3 linked regions of the Arabidopsis thaliana genome follow. The protein of the gene in region 1 purifies or fractionates together with the protein of each later gene. This does not show direct contact. Each region holds a gene or a part of one and is shown in the gene's direction. Other genes may lie near its edges.

What was found. The genes of interacting proteins can lie anywhere in the genome.
Region 2: the proteins of CPSF160 (region 1) and AT4G09310 fractionate together in Arabidopsis thaliana (co-fractionation; one large-scale study listed by BioGRID). This does not show direct contact.
Region 3: the proteins of CPSF160 (region 1) and AT4G09250 fractionate together in Arabidopsis thaliana (co-fractionation; one large-scale study listed by BioGRID). This does not show direct contact.

Annotation. Positions count from the first base shown.
Region 1 is NC_003076.8:20,977,731-20,983,288, forward strand, and holds the start of CPSF160 (cleavage and polyadenylation specificity factor 160), read left to right. Parts: upstream 1-2,274; 5' UTR 2,275-2,519; coding exon 2,520-2,851; intron 2,852-2,940; coding exon 2,941-3,087; intron 3,088-3,419; coding exon 3,420-3,573; intron 3,574-3,680; coding exon 3,681-3,816; intron 3,817-4,157; coding exon 4,158-4,303; intron 4,304-4,627; coding exon 4,628-4,723; intron 4,724-4,839; coding exon 4,840-4,892; intron 4,893-5,070; coding exon 5,071-5,202; intron 5,203-5,310; coding exon 5,311-5,362; intron 5,363-5,455; coding exon 5,456-5,558. Other genes in the region: AT5G51650 (uncharacterized protein), read right to left, coding at 473-670, 713-1,093, 1,478-1,519. UniProt on the Arabidopsis thaliana protein: CPSF plays a key role in pre-mRNA 3'-end formation, recognizing the AAUAAA signal sequence and interacting with poly(A)polymerase and other factors to bring about cleavage and poly(A) addition.
Region 2 is NC_003075.7:5,900,722-5,906,543, forward strand, and holds AT4G09310 (SPla/RYanodine receptor (SPRY) domain-containing protein), read left to right. Parts: upstream 1-2,091; 5' UTR 2,092-2,227; coding exon 2,228-2,487; intron 2,488-2,825; coding exon 2,826-2,984; intron 2,985-3,140; coding exon 3,141-3,276; intron 3,277-3,426; coding exon 3,427-3,503; intron 3,504-3,576; coding exon 3,577-3,718; intron 3,719-3,861; coding exon 3,862-3,930; intron 3,931-4,019; coding exon 4,020-4,076; intron 4,077-4,147; coding exon 4,148-4,234; intron 4,235-4,312; coding exon 4,313-4,519; 3' UTR 4,520-4,728; downstream 4,729-5,822.
Region 3 is NC_003075.7:5,874,740-5,880,072, forward strand, and holds AT4G09250 (SPla/RYanodine receptor (SPRY) domain-containing protein), read left to right. Parts: upstream 1-1,838; 5' UTR 1,839-1,947; coding exon 1,948-2,207; intron 2,208-2,545; coding exon 2,546-2,704; intron 2,705-2,860; coding exon 2,861-2,996; intron 2,997-3,146; coding exon 3,147-3,223; intron 3,224-3,296; coding exon 3,297-3,438; intron 3,439-3,581; coding exon 3,582-3,650; intron 3,651-4,032; coding exon 4,033-4,239; downstream 4,240-5,333.

The DNA of each region.
Region 1 (5,558 bases):
TTCTTTTGAAGTTATTTTTGATTTGGTTATTGTGTATGATATTATAATTCATATAATTATTACGGTTATATTTCATAATTAGTTTAATCGTGTATGTTCAACTTTTTTAATTGAACTAGATTATTAGTTAAACTAAATCGAATTACGATTGGTTAGACTGTTAGATTTTTATTAAATCAAATTTAACTTGAAAATAAATCAAAATCTTCACTCTTCATTTTGATTAAACTAAACAAAAAATAAACTAAACAATTTAGGAGTTTTTTCTTTTTTCTTTTTTGAAGTTTTTTATTGATTTGGTCATTTTGCATGATATTATAATTATTACGGTTATATTTCATAATTAGTTTAATCGTGTATGTCCAACTTTTTTAATTGAACTAGATTATTAGTTAAACTAAACCGAACTACATTTGGTTAGACTATTAGATTTTTATTATATCAAACTTAACTTGAAAATAAATCAAAATCCTCACTCTCGATTAACAATAAACGTTTTCCCTTTCTTCCCCTTCTTGCGCTTGTTCTTTTCAAGCTTCTTCTCCTTCATCAACTTTTCAATAAACTCATCGTTCTTTTTCTCAAACTCTCTCAGAAGTTTCTTAAGTTGCTGCTTGTCGTTTGCCAGTTTCCTTAAATCTGCAGTAGTTAGTTTGATTTTACTTCCAAACTTGATTCACAGAGAAATAAGCTTCCTTATGTCATTCTCCACGTCATCCTCCTCCTCCTCTTTCTTCTTGTCCTTCTTCTTCTCCTTGAGATCCCAGATAATGCCAACTTCTTCTTCAAGGATTTTTGTATCAAAGTAGTCATTTTCGTTACCAGGTGCAGAAACAGTCCACTTGGAGTAGTTGATAAGGTCACGTTCAAGGTTAAAGTGATGAATGGCATATGTGTATGCAACAGACACAGATCCATCCTTTTCCCATGAGACATGAGCCTCTTCTTTCTCCTTCTCCACAAGAACCTTTTCAACTCCCTCTTCTTTCCCTTGAGCTTCAAGTCCCTCTTTCCTCTCCTGAACCACACGTTGAACTCCTTTGGCCACTAAAGGATGCCAAAAATCCTCGAAAAGGAATCGAGGCTTTGGAGCCTAAGAGAGTATCTCTTTGTGAATAGTTTTAACAAGCACAGTGTAAAAATTTTCTTCCTTGACATTTTTTCTTCTGGTAATGAGAAATAAGATAAAAATTTGGAGAAAAAGAGGATGAAGCAGAAGAAGAAGTATGTAAAAAGAGTAGTTATAGGTGGTTAAACTTAAAGCTATCATTGTTGTCGTCTTGTATGGGGGAGGAACACTCAAAATCGTTTCACAGAGACTTGCAGGAGGTTTCTTATTTTATGAGGACAAGAGGTGAGAAGTAGAGGAAGCCCAAAGTTGGTTATTTTCCTTTTCAAGATTTTTCAACAATTAATAAGAAATATTATATGAACGTATCTTTAAATCAATTAATTATTAGCATTTGTTTTCATAAACCTTATAAGGCATCCCCTTGTTCTCCAAAACAATTACTGTCATCCTCTTTCTAAGTGAAAATTATATTTTTTTTTATCGTCTCTAAGTTGTTTAAGGGGTTAAAATACTAATTACAAAAACACAATCTAAAACATAAATAATAAATACGTTTATCTCTTACATATTTTTGCTGAGATTTTTTTATTAGAAGTATAAAGATTTTTGGGGAAATTTGATACTAAGGATCTTTTTTAGAACTAAAAAGGAAAACAAAAATATTTTACAAAATGATATATTTCGATATATAAAGTTTTAATGCAGTAATGAAACTCAAAATGATTGATAACACTTTCTAATACTTTTATGTTGCAAAAACAAAATCATGGTGCAAAATCCACTACTTTTATGTTGTAGTATATTTCTAGAAGAAATTTGGTTTCATGGTATATATTGGGTATTAAATAAAGATTGGACTATCTTCCCTTTGGCTTTGGTGTGTCATAGATAGTGATAAGAAATACCTCTTTTTTTGGGCATTATTTGTTGACAAACGATATAGAAAATTATAAACAAAATAAAGATCATTGGAAAAACATCATTTGACCAAAGATGTGTATATGTGTCCCAATCAGAAAGTTCATAACAAGTTCCTCTCTTCTCTTCTCAATTCTTATGCATCCACATCATCATTGATTTAATGCTTTTAAAAACAGAACATTACATTTATTTTTTTAAAAATGTATTACTTTTTGGACAATACAAGTTTGATACATATAACGGATTTCGCAAAATATTTCATGTTCTTTTTGCAAACAAATAATCCCCAAAAAAAACTAAAGGAAAAGAAATTCGTAAAGACCAAACTCGTAATAAAGAGTATATACTGTTTCCCCTTAAAAAAAAAAACCAACCTAAAATTAAAACCCGTGGGTTTAAGGATTTGATCTTTTAATGTTCACAAAATCGAGACCCTAAATTGCTCTCACACTCACTTCCCAATCTTCTTAGTTCAATTTCAATTTTTAGAATTAGAATCTCTGAATCCCAGATTCCGGTAGAGAAGATGAGTTTCGCGGCCTATAAGATGATGCATTGGCCTACCGGCGTCGAGAACTGTGCTTCCGGCTATATCACCCACTCTCTCTCCGATTCAACGCTACAGATTCCGATTGTTTCCGTTCATGATGATATTGAAGCTGAGTGGCCTAATCCTAAACGAGGTATTGGTCCTTTGCCCAACGTCGTTATAACCGCCGCAAATATCCTTGAGGTGTACATCGTTAGGGCTCAAGAGGAAGGGAATACTCAGGAGCTGAGGAATCCGAAGCTTGCTAAGCGTGGTGGAGTTATGGATGGTGTCTATGGTGTTTCTCTCGAGCTCGTGTGCCATTATAGGTACGTGTTTGTTGACAATTACCTCCTAAATTACTCCAATTTTGGTACTTTGACTTTGAAGTGACGATGTGATTGGTATTGGATTGTAGGTTGCACGGTAATGTTGAGTCAATTGCGGTTCTTCCTATGGGAGGTGGTAATTCTTCTAAGGGAAGAGATTCGATTATATTGACATTTCGCGACGCCAAAATTTCAGTTCTTGAGTTTGATGATTCAATTCACAGCCTTAGGATGACGTAAGAGTGTTTTGCTTTTGTTGGTTTTGGTAAATAAATAAATGAATTCAGCTTTAGTTTCAGCTCTGTCTCCTCTCAATTGTTTCTTTTGACCTATATACGAGATGTTCTGTGTCCAACTATTGTTTTAACTGTTTTATACTTCTCAAAGTTTTGGTCTTTACTTACGCATTGTTATTGTTTCTAGCGATGCAAGTTACGTAGTATTGGATCATATACTGAAGCGTTCTATTGTCTATGTCTGATTGTTTCTTCTAGTTATCTAATTTATGTACCATTGACTCCTATACATGACTTCAACAAATAATAATGGATATGTGGTTCCTTTTCAGTTCGATGCATTGTTTTGAGGGTCCAGATTGGCTTCATCTGAAAAGAGGAAGAGAGTCTTTTCCAAGAGGCCCTTTGGTAAAAGTGGATCCTCAAGGCAGATGTGGCGGCGTTCTTGTTTATGGTTTGCAGATGATCATACTCAAGACTTCCCAGGTTTTTGTTTTGGCATTATTAATCAACTTCATCTTAACTGTCGCTTTATCTGCTACAAATTTCCAACCTTCATTCTTTTCTTTTATGAACTTTATTTTGGGTTTTAGGTTGGTTCTGGACTAGTTGGAGATGATGATGCGTTCAGTTCTGGAGGGACAGTTTCTGCTCGAGTTGAATCATCTTACATAATTAACTTGCGTGATCTGGAAATGAAACACGTCAAAGATTTTGTTTTTCTACATGGTAGGTTTAGCAAGCAAGGTTTCTTCATAAACTTATCTCTGAATCAGTAGTTAATCATAAATATATTATGATGATTGTTTCTTAGCTGCTCAACTTGCATCGAATCTTGTGTCCTTGAATGGATCTAGCTTACTAAGTTGTTGTTTGTAGATTCAATACGACAACTGATGTATTCTGGTCATGATTACAGTTTGAAACAAGAGGAAATGTATTGTTTCTTTGATTTTTCAATAACTAGCTGTCTGAAATTTTAGATATTCTAGTTTTCCCAGTAGGCATAAAGAATAAACTAAGTGGTGCTTCTTTTGATTATGTGTTTTTGCATCCTGTGTCTTCTTCAGGTTATATTGAGCCTGTAATTGTCATCCTTCAGGAAGAAGAGCATACTTGGGCTGGGCGAGTTTCATGGAAGCACCATACTTGCGTGCTTTCTGCCCTTAGTATCAATTCGACATTAAAACAACACCCAGTCATCTGGTCAGCTATTGTATGTTCGTATTTTCCTCTTTGTATCTTATAATAGATCTCTTCCCAAGAAATTAAATATTTGAGTTGCACTATTAACTATATTGTAAGCTAAGGGTAGAAATTGAAGTCATCTAAAAGGTTATTGAATATCCACTGTTGTTACATGACTAGACTTTCCAATCAGCTATGACGATGCTCTATTTTTTGTTTAGAATGCTCAAAGAGTTGATCTTTCTTTAGGAAAAATTTCCTAAAATAACAAGCTATTTCATGACTGAAATAGTTACTTCGGCAAACGTTAGTCCCTGATCATACTTATTCCCATTCTTTTGGTATTTTCCAGAATCTGCCCCATGATGCCTACAAACTACTTGCAGTACCATCTCCGATCGGAGGTGTTCTTGTGTTGTGTGCAAATACAATCCATTATCATAGTCAGGTAGTTTTATATTACTTAGCTTTTGGTTGTTTCTTGTTTAAAATTCAACAATTCCAGCCACTCCACCTCAAAGTTCTACAGTTACTCACACATCTGGATACCATATATATTTGTAGTCAGCCTCCTGTGCTCTGGCACTGAACAATTATGCCTCCTCAGCTGATAGCAGGTACAGTTTTCTCGCACCTCCCCACTCTTCAAAACCTGCTTCATGCTTATGGATATAATCTTGTTACCTCAGTCTTAGTTTAGAATCCTAAAGCTTAGAATCAACTTTCAACATTTGTAAAACTCTGTTTATACTGTTAACCACATTTCTATCTCTGTGTGCGTCTGATTTCTTTCAGTCAAGAACTGCCTGCATCAAATTTCAGTGTGGAGCTTGATGCTGCCCATGGAACCTGGATATCGAACGATGTGGCCCTATTGTCGACAAAATCTGGGGAATTGTTGCTGCTGACTCTTATATATGATGGGCGGTAGTATTTTGATCTTCTTTAAAAAAAAATCTTCTGACGCTTGTAAAGCTGGCTGCAACTTATTTTGTTTAAAATATGTGAAACTGACTGCTACTTTCTTTTTTGAAGTGCTGTACAGAGACTTGATCTTTCCAAATCAAAAGCCTCTGTGCTTGCTTCGGTTAGTCAATATGTTCTTTCAGCATATTTGTACTTCAATTTGGATCCTGTTCGATTAGAGATTCCCTATGATGATATACCAAATTTCTTGCAGGACATTACTAGTGTTGGAAATTCCCTTTTCTTTTTAGGTAGCCGGTTGGGAGACAGTTTACTGGTGCAATTTTCCTGTAGATCTGGGCCTGCAGCATCATTAC
Region 2 (5,822 bases), on another chromosome or scaffold:
CAAAAGGGAACATATATAGTGATATATAACTGATCTGTCGCAAGAACATGATGACCATTTCTTCCTAGTGAGTATTTTGAGTGAGGGGGGAGTTTTTAGCCTTGCTCTTATGATTTAGGGATTTTCTTATTCATGACAATATTGGACCCCTAGGTAGTACTAATAACAAGAGAGGGTTTTTGTTTTCAAATGTTGGTTTACTGGTTAGGCTTTTATTCTCCACCATGGTATGGTTCCTATAAAGCTACATAAGAATTCATTTTGAAGTTTGTTTGGTGTGTGACCGAAGAACCAAAAAAAAAAAAACAGTTGCTCATTCTTTGTCTACTTATCTCACTATTCGGCAATGCATATACGTCCTAATCTTTGTTTTGCTTATCTTAGTTATTCTATCTCTCTCCCTTACCTAAAAAGCTGGCTTCAAAGGACTTGACGGATCGTTTATAAAACAGACTAGTCATAAACATAGATTTATATTCGAGATGGCTTCAAATACGAATCTTAAACTGTTTATAGTATATATAGTATCTAATAGCTGCGGGTGTTGTGAAAGGGAACTTAGTGTTGACCATGGTCATGGAGTTTAACCAAGAAGTTTGTTGAACCAAGGATTCACACAATAGATTTGTTTAGAGAGGGAAAACAAATCTAGTAATTTCTCTTCATTAGGTATTCTATCCAAGACTCGATTACAAGAGGGGTTCTAATCTCTTATGAAATACATTAGGGTTTTGCTCAAGAACAGAAAAAGAATTAAAGTTTTAAAAAGGTATAGCTGCATCCATGATGGATTGCCTACGTACCCTGTGAAGGGATCAAGCCATTCGTAGTTCTCAATAGGTATAAAGTTCTATGTTTCTTGTGAATATCCCAAGATCTCCCCCTTTTTGTGAAGTCCCTAAGGCACTTTATATAGGATCCTTAAACCGCCTCCCTAGCGATATTCTTCGGAAGATTCTTATTTATCCTTAGGTCGGTTCTAGAGGATAATCGTCCTAAGGATATTCTCCTTATTCTTCGGAGGTTTTGGGGAGATTTCCTGATTTCGACATTATCTTCAAAGATTCTCCTTTATCATTTCTGAAAGTCCCATAAAAGATCCCATTTTACCGGAAATGATCCTTGGAGAATGAATGGTTTTTACAAGTCTTTGCCTCGCGTGTTCTTCACGGCTCGGTGGTCGTTTGAGAGGTGGCTTCGGGGCAAACGGTATGTACCGGCTCGGGGCGCGCTTGATGACTGTCCATTAAGCTCAGTTGGCTGTCTCCCGAGCCGATATAGATGTGTCCCGCAGCGTTCTCACGATTGGCTCGGGCTGTGTTCATATGATTAACACCCGAGCCATTTTACAAACTCTCTTCGGGACGGTCGATCGAATAAGGTCCCGAGGTGCTTTGTTCTAGGCTAGGGGCCAATCATATGTTTAACCATGAGGTGATTGTTATTCTTAGACTGTTTGGCTCGGTCTTGCTTGTGGGGGAATCCGACCCCAACGAAGTTGTACCTTGACGGAAGAGAGCACGAATGGGATCGGTGCGGGTGTCTGGAAAGTGCCTGAAGAAGGTTCATGTGATGATCAAACTCTGGAATGCTACTGGGAGTACTGACTGTACCAAAACCTCCTCCAACAGTGCCACAGGGAACAAGCAAGCCCCATATCAATGTGTGATGAAGTTGAAGGAGCAGGGTCGTAAGGTGGACTTCCACAGTTAGAAGGAGGCTTGTGTGATGGAGGAGCTCCATATCCTTCGTCATAGTACTGATTTCCGGATCTGAATAAAGAAGCATGGCATCATTTGGAAGTAAGAGATCACATGAGAATACCATCCCTAGAACCGAGAGAGAAAAGTTTATGTTAATAAATTTTTATTGTATAATTGATATTGAAAAACATTAATAAACAGTGTTCACATAAGGTGTAAATTCACCCCAAAAGCACTCTAAAAAGTAAAAACCAAAAGAGAAAAAAACATAGAAATGGTTACTTAATAATATACCGAGTTTCATCTATTTACTTAATAATATACGGTTATTTGATTTACCGGTTAACTAAAAAATATCTGGTTTAATCGTATTTATTGTTGGCAAACACAACATTGGGCGCGAAGTGGTTTTTGATGCCCTTCAACAACATTTGGGGGTTTCATTTCAATCGCATTTCTAGGGTTTCTTTCTCTACGATTCAATAGATTCGGACGAATTGGGGGATTCTGACCAGAGAGAAGCTATGGAGGAAAACGAAGAGGAAGAAGAATTGCGGCCAACGGCGCTATACACGGTCGGTGGTTCAGACGAATTTACCTTTGTTTCTCCCGATGGGCTCTCCGGTCAATACACGGGCCCTGATCACGACGGCGTAGTTCTTCAGACTGAAAATCCGGCGCCGACTAACTGTCTTGCTTACTACTTCGAGGTTCATATCATGAATGCTGGTGAAAAAGGAGAGATCGCGATTGGTTTCTCCAAGGAACACATCTATAGCGAAGGGTATCGTTTTCTTTCCCTTTCAATTCGCATTTACCACTTATTGCGTGATTTGATACTCAATACAATCATTGATTCTGTTTGATTTGGTACCTGAGACTGAGAGAACAAATTGGGAAATAGGTTTAGATACAATGGTAGATCAGTAGTTCAAATCACTGTTTCAATGGTTTGGATTCGTTACTTGGAAATAGGTTATGTGATTTGCTGCTCAATTTGATTGTGTTGGCTGTTAGATCTGGTATCTTACAAGTTAATGGGAGATTTGCTTTGTTAGATGTTTTCACCTTTCAGTAATTAAGCATTCCAATTCACTGTTTCATGTTTCTCTGTAATGTTAGATATACTGTCAGAAGCTGTGCCTACATTGGTAACAGTGGACTCATATGCTCTCAAAATGGAGATGGTGATCGAACTGTTGCTAAAGCCAGTGACACCTATACAACAGGTGATTTAGTTGGTTGCGGTATAGACTCGGTTTCACAAGAATTCTTTTTCACGTAAGTAATAACTGTTTCCCTATCTGAACATGTTTCATTACAATTGGAAAAGTAGATATCAAGATACACAATTCATTTCTTCATGTCACAATGTTTTTGACATGTCCCTGCGTATGTTTTACTTGCTGACATCTATGACTACTTCTTTGATTATAGGAAAAATGGAACTATCGTAGGGACAATCCCCAGGCAATTTAGGCGTCCTGTATACCCGACAATTGTTTTGCATAGCCAAAACGAAGCTGTCACTGTCAATTTCGGCGGACAGATTGCGTTTTCTTTTGACTTTGAGGTAAGGTCGTACTTTTCTTTTCTTGCATAGTCGGAGAATAACTATTGAGTAAGCAGAATAATATGCATCTCTCACATATGTCCATATTTGCATGTATGTGGCATATTTTTCTGATACAATATTCTATTATCTGATCCACCTTTATTTCAGCATTTTGAAGAATCATTGAGGGTTAAAAAAGAAAGGGAAATTGAAAAGATTTCCATGTCTCGCAGCATTAGTCATGGGTAAAGTGTCTTTTCCTGCCTGTTCTTAATTGTAATTCTTGTTTCTGTTTGTGCTAAAGCTTCCTTTTTCCAGGCTTGTAAAAACCTACCTTCTTCGTTATGGATATGAAGATAGCTTTAGAGCTTTTAACCTGGCTGCAAGTCGTCATACTGTTATTGCACAAGAAAATAGTTTTGATGAGTATGAATTGCATCAAAGGAAAAAGCTCAGAGAGGTACTTTTCACTGCTATGGTTATCTTGCTGTAATTTTTTTTTTATTTTTTTTCTGTGAGGTACAAAATCAACCAAAAGCAAGCTACATTGCTACATCTTTTCTGTTTCATATCGAACTGATCCATGCATTCTGTTTGTTAAAGCTTATAATGACTGCTGAGATTGATGATGCTATTGCTGCACTCAAGGATAGATATCCCCAACTTATTGAGGTGGGCTGAGTAACTAGTTAATATATCGAGTGATTCACATTGTTAACATTCCTTGAACTATTTTAACAAGCTGCTTGTATCATATGCAGGGTGGATCAGAAGCTTATTTTCTTCTTATCTGTCAAAAGATTGTCGAATTAGTACGGGTATGTTCTTTATTCCTTGTATATTTGTTACACATATCCATGGTGTGTTTCTCTAACTAACTACAATGCAGAAAGGAGCAATAGCAGAGGCTAAGTCATTTGGAAATCAAGATTTTAAAGACTTTAGGGATTCAAGCCTACTAAAAAACCTTTTCGATGTATGTAGTGATTCTCTAACTGTTAGATTAGGTTTCTCATATTTGAGTCACTAATAGTTTTGTTTTTCTCTATTTCAGGATTGCTCTGCTTTGTTCGAGTGTGAAACTATAGAAGAATCAGGTGCTGCATATCTTCTAGGAGAAACACAGAAGAACATAGTAGCAGCTGCAGTCAGTGAAGCGATTCTATCTACAAATCCGGCCACCAGAGACCAGCAATCTGCTTCACTTGAGCGAGTGCTTAGACAGTTTGAAGCCACCTGCTCACTCTATGCTCGTGAATAAAATCTTGACTTTTTCTGTTTTTCTTTTTATCTTTTCTCTTGATAGAGTCATTGTGTAAGCTCAAATGTTCTAAAACTAGCGATCATACTTTAACTTGATTCACAACTATATACGAGATTATATTGGAGCTTGAAAATTTTTATTTACAAGTATTTATCTACAAATCGGCAAATATTGAGCTGCTCATACTAATTTTGATAATTTAATCGGCTACAAATTTTAATGACATGTTGTTGTTAGCTGTAAGTTAAAATATGAAATCGAAAGTCTTTTGTTTATTGCTTTCAACTTAAGCCTTTGTGATTACAAGCTATGTCTATTTATACATCTAGATTGATTTAACCTAGTGTCTTCTTGATTTGCATAGCTGTCACTTGGCTGTTATGTGGCGTCGTTGTCTTCACATGATTCAAGAGCCTCATAGCGATTCCTCGTCGTTACTTCCGTACTGCGTGGAGATAAGGACCGCTCTGCAACTTTTCTGCTTTTGTCCTTTGTTGTTGCAGGTTGTCGTTGCACTATGTTGGGCTTGGCTCTTGGATTGGGCACTTGTTTCGGATTGGGCTTTAATGGTTTTGAGCCCAATTCCAAAACTGTGTCGTTTGGAGCTGTTCTGTTGATACTCCCCCTCAAACTTGGAGGAGGTGGGAAATCGACACCAAGTTTGAATCGGAGAGATTCGAAAGGAGCCTTGGCGAGAGACTTTGTAAATATGTCAGCGAGCTGTAGATAACCCGGGATATGATGGACGATGAGCTCACCAAAAGCTACCTGCTCTCGGACATAATGATAGTGAGTTGCAAAATGCTTTGTCCGAGCATGAAACGATGGATTCGCTGTAAGGTAAACGGCAGAGAGGTTGTCGCAGAAGAGTTCGGGGAGCTATAACTGCGGAACACCCAAATCACGAAGTAAATTGACTAGCCATGTGATTTTCGAGGCTGTATCGGACATAGAGCGATATTCAGCTTCGGTTGAGCTTTTGGCGACTGAGACTTGCTTTCGAGAAGACCAGGAGATTAAATTGTTGGCAAGAAATGTACAGAAGCCACCGGTGGAGCGACGTGTACCATGACAACCGGCGTGATCACTGACACTGTAAGCTCGGAGTTGACAATCTGTGTCCTTGTTGAATGAAATTCCCATGGTTGTTGTTCCTCTGATGTATAGGAGAATCCTTTTGAGGAGAAGAAAATCCGACATTGTAGGGGCGTGCATCTTTTGGCACACGTAATTAACAGAGAATTGGAGGTCCGGTCTAGTAAGTGTGAGGTAGTGCAGCTTACCAGCCAAACTTCTTAAA
Region 3 (5,333 bases), on another chromosome or scaffold:
CCAAAAAAAAAAAAAACAGTTGCTCATTCTTTGTCTACTTATCTCACTATTCGGCAATGCATATACGTCCTAATCTTTGTTTTGCTTATCTTAGTTATTCTATCTCTCTCCCTTACCTAAAAAGCTGGCTTCAAAGGACTTGACGGATCGTTTATAAAACAGACTAGTCATAAACATAGATTTATATTCGAGATGGCTTCAAATACGAATCTTAAACTGTTTATAGTATATATAGTATCTAATAGCTGCGGGTGTTGTGAAAGGGAACTTAGTGTTGACCATGGTCATGGAGTTTAACCAAGAAGTTTGTTGAACCAAGGATTCACACAATAGATTTGTTTAGAGAGGGAAAACAAATCTAGTAATTTCTCTTCATTAGGTATTCTATCCAAGACTCGATTACAAGAGGGGTTCTAATCTCTTATGAAATACATTAGGGTTTTGCTCAAGAACAGAAAAAGAATTAGAGTTTTAAAAAGGTATAGCTGCATCCATGATGGATTGCCTACGTACCCTGTGAAGGGATCAAGCCATTCGTAGTTTTCAATAGGTATAAAGTTCTATGTTTCTTGTGAATATCCCAAGATCTCCCCCTTTTTGTGAAGTCCCTAAGGCACTTTATATAGGATCCTTAAACCGCCTCCCTAGCGATATTCTTCGGAAGATTCTTATTTATCCTTAGGTCGGTTCTAGAGGATAATCGTCCTAAGGATATTCTCCTTATTCTTCGGAGGTTTTGGGGAGATTTCCTGATTTCGACATTATCTTCAAAGATTCTCCTTTATCATTTCTGAAAGTCCCATAAAAGATCCCATTTTACCGGAAATGATCCTTGGAGAATGAATGGTTTTTACAAGTCTTTGCCTCGCGTGTTCTTCACGGCTCGGTGGTCGTTTGAGAGGTGGCTTCGGGGCAAACGGTATGTACCGGCTCGGGGCGCGCTTGATGACTGTCCATTAAGCTCAGTTGGCTGTCTCCCGAGCCGATATAGATGTTTCCCGCAGCGTTCTCACGATTGGTTCGGGCTGTGTTCATATGATTAACACCCGAGCCATTTTACAAACTCTCTTCGGGACGGTCGATCGAATAAGGTCCCGAGGTGCTTTGTTCTAGGCTAGGGGCCAATCATATGTTTAACCATGAGGTGATTGTTATTCTTAGACTGTTTGGCTCGGTCTTGCTTGTGGGGGAATCCGACCCCAACAAAGTTGTACCTTGACGGAAGAGAGCACGAATGGGATCGGTGCGGGTGTCTGGAAAGTGCCTGAAGAAGGTTCATGTGATGATCAAACTCTGGAATGCTACTGGGAGTACTGACTGTACCAAAACCTCCTCCAACAGTGCCACAGGGAACAAGCAAGCCCCATATCAATGTGTGATGAAGTTGAAGGAGCAGGGTCGTAAGGTGGACTTCCACAGTTAGAAGGAGGCTTGTGTGATGGAGGAGCTCCATATCCTTCGTCATAGTACTGATTTCCGGATCTGAATAAAGAAGCATGGCATCATTTGGAAGTAAGAGATCACATGAGAATACCATCCCTAGAACCGAGAGAGAAAAGTTTATGTTAATAAATTTTTATTGTATAATTGATATTGAAAAACATTAATAAACATTAATAAACAGTGTTCACATAAGGTGTAAATTCACCCCAAAAGCACTCTAAAAAGTAAAAACCAAAAGAGAAAAAAACATAGAAATGGTTACTTAATAATATACCGAGTTTCATCTATTTACTTAATAATATACGGTTATTTGATTTACCGGTTAACTAAAAAATATCTGGTTTAATCGTATTTATTGTTGGCAAACACAACATTGGGCGCGAAGTGGTTTTTGATGCCCTTCAACAACATTTGGGGGTTTCATTTCAATCGCATTTCTAGGGTTTCTTTCTCTACGATTCAATAGATTCGGACGAATTGGGGGATTCTGACCAGAGAGAAGCTATGGAGGAAAACGAAGAGGAAGAAGAATTGCGGCCAACGGCGCTATACACGGTCGGTGGTTCAGACGAATTTACCTTTGTTTCTCCCGATGGGCTCTCCGGTCAATACACGGGCCCTGATCACGACGGCGTAGTTCTTCAGACTGAAAATCCGGCGCCGACTAACTGTCTTGCTTACTACTTCGAGGTTCATATCATGAATGCTGGTGAAAAAGGAGAGATCGCGATTGGTTTCTCCAAGGAACACATCTATAGCGAAGGGTATCGTTTTCTTTCCCTTTCAATTCGCATTTACCACTTATTGCGTGATTTGATACTCAATACAATCATTGATTCTGTTTGATTTGGTACCTGAGACTGAGAGAACAAATTGGGAAATAGGTTTAGATACAATGGTAGATCAGTAGTTCAAATCACTGTTTCAATGGTTTGGATTCGTTACTTGGAAATAGGTTATGTGATTTGCTGCTCAATTTGATTGTGTTGGCTGTTAGATCTGGTATCTTACAAGTTAATGGGAGATTTGCTTTGTTAGATGTTTTCACCTTTCAGTAATTAAGCATTCCAATTCACTGTTTCATGTTTCTCTGTAATGTTAGATATACTGTCAGAAGCTGTGCCTACATTGGTAACAGTGGACTCATATGCTCTCAAAATGGAGATGGTGATCGAACTGTTGCTAAAGCCAGTGACACCTATACAACAGGTGATTTAGTTGGTTGCGGTATAGACTCGGTTTCACAAGAATTCTTTTTCACGTAAGTAATAACTGTTTCCCTATCTGAACATGTTTCATTACAATTGGAAAAGTAGATATCAAGATACACAATTCATTTCTTCATGTCACAATGTTTTTGACATGTCCCTGCGTATGTTTTACTTGCTGACATCTATGACTACTTCTTTGATTATAGGAAAAATGGAACTATCGTAGGGACAATCCCCAGGCAATTTAGGCGTCCTGTATACCCGACAATTGTTTTGCATAGCCAAAACGAAGCTGTCACTGTCAATTTCGGCGGACAGATTGCGTTTTCTTTTGACTTTGAGGTAAGGTCGTACTTTTCTTTTCTTGCATAGTCGGAGAATAACTATTGAGTAAGCAGAATAATATGCATCTCTCACATATGTCCATATTTGCATGTATGTGGCATATTTTTCTGATACAATATTCTATTATCTGATCCACCTTTATTTCAGCATTTTGAAGAATCATTGAGGGTTAAAAAAGAAAGGGAAATTGAAAAGATTTCCATGTCTCGCAGCATTAGTCATGGGTAAAGTGTCTTTTCCTGCCTGTTCTTAATTGTAATTCTTGTTTCTGTTTGTGCTAAAGCTTCCTTTTTCCAGGCTTGTAAAAACCTACCTTCTTCGTTATGGATATGAAGATAGCTTTAGAGCTTTTAACCTGGCTGCAAGTCGTCATACTGTTATTGCACAAGAAAATAGTTTTGATGAGTATGAATTGCATCAAAGGAAAAAGCTCAGAGAGGTACTTTTCACTGCTATGGTTATCTTGCTGTAATTTTTTTTTTATTTTTTTTCTGTGAGGTACAAAATCAACCAAAAGCAAGCTACATTGCTACATCTTTTCTGTTTCATATCGAACTGATCCATGCATTCTGTTTGTTAAAGCTTATAATGACTGCTGAGATTGATGATGCTATTGCTGCACTCAAGGATAGATATCCCCAACTTATTGAGGTGGGCTGAGTAACTAGTTAATATATCGAGTGATTCACATTGTTAACATTCCTTGAACTATTTTAACAAGCTGCTTGTATCATATGCAGGGTGGATCAGAAGCTTATTTTCTTCTTATCTGTCAAAAGATTGTCGAATTAGTACGGGTATGTTCTTTATTCCTTGTATATTTGTTACACATATCCATGGTGTGTTTCTCTAACTAACTACAATGCAGAAAGGAGCAATAGCAGAGGCTAAGTCATTTGGAAATCAAGATTTTAAAGACTTTAGGGATTCAAGCCTACTAAAAAACCTTTTCGATGTATGTAGTGATTCTCTAACTGTTAGATTAGGTTTCTCATATTTGAGTCACTAATAGTTTTGTTTTTCTCTATTTCAGGATTGCTCTGCTTTGTTCGAGTGTGAAACTATAGAAGAATCAGGTGCTGCATATCTTCTAGGAGAAACACAGAAGAACATAGTAGCAGCTGCAGTCAGTGAAGCGATTCTATCTACAAATCCGGCCACCAGAGACCAGCAATCTGCTTCACTTGAGCGAGTGCTTAGACAGTTTGAAGCCACCTGCTCACTCTATGCTCGTGAATAAAATCTTGACTTTTTCTGTTTTTCTTTTTATCTTTTCTCTTGATAGAGTCATTGTGTAAGCTCAAATGTTCTAAAACTAGCGATCATACTTTAACTTGATTCACAACTATATACGAGATTATATTGGAGCTTGAAAATTTTTATTTACAAGTATTTATCTACAAATCGGCAAATATTGAGCTGCTCATACTAATTTTGATAATTTAATCGGCTACAAATTTTAATGACATGTTGTTGTTAGCTGTAAGTTAAAATATGAAATCGAAAGTCTTTTGTTTATTGCTTTCAACTTAAGCCTTTGTGATTACAAGCTATGTCTATTTATACATCTAGATTGATTTAACCTAGTGTCTTCTTGATTTGCATAGCTGTCACTTGGCTGTTATGTGGCGTCGTTGTCTTCACATGATTCAAGAGCCTCATAGCGATTCCTCGTCGTTACTTCCGTACTGCGTGGAGATAAGGACCGCTCTGCAACTTTTCTGCTTTTGTCCTTTGTTGTTGCAGGTTGTCGTTGCACTATGTTGGGCTTGGCTCTTGGATTGGGCACTTGTTTCGGATTGGGCTTTAATGGTTTTGAGCCCAATTCCAAAACTGTGTCGTTTGGAGCTGTTCTGTTGATACTCCCCCTCAAACTTGGAGGAGGTGGGAAATCGACACCAAGTTTGAATCGGAGAGATTCGAAAGGAGCCTTGGCGAGAGACTTTGTAAATATGTCAGCGAGCTGTAGATAACCCGGGATATGATGGACGATGAGCTCACCAAAAGCTACCTGCTCTCGGACATAATGATAGTGAGTTGCAAAATGCTTTGTCCGAGCATGAAACGATGGATTCGCTGTAAGGTAAACGGCAGAGAGGTTGTCGCAGAAGAGTTCGGGGAGCTGTAACTGCGGAACACCCAGATCACGAAGTAAATTGACTAGCCATGTGATTTCCGAGGCTGTATCGGACATAGAGCGATATTCAGCTTCGGTTGAGCTTTTGGCGACTGAGACTTGCTTTCGAGAAGACCAGGAGATTAGATTGTTGACAAGAAATGTACAGAAGCCACCGGTGGAGCGACGTGTACCATGACAACCGGCGTGATCACTGT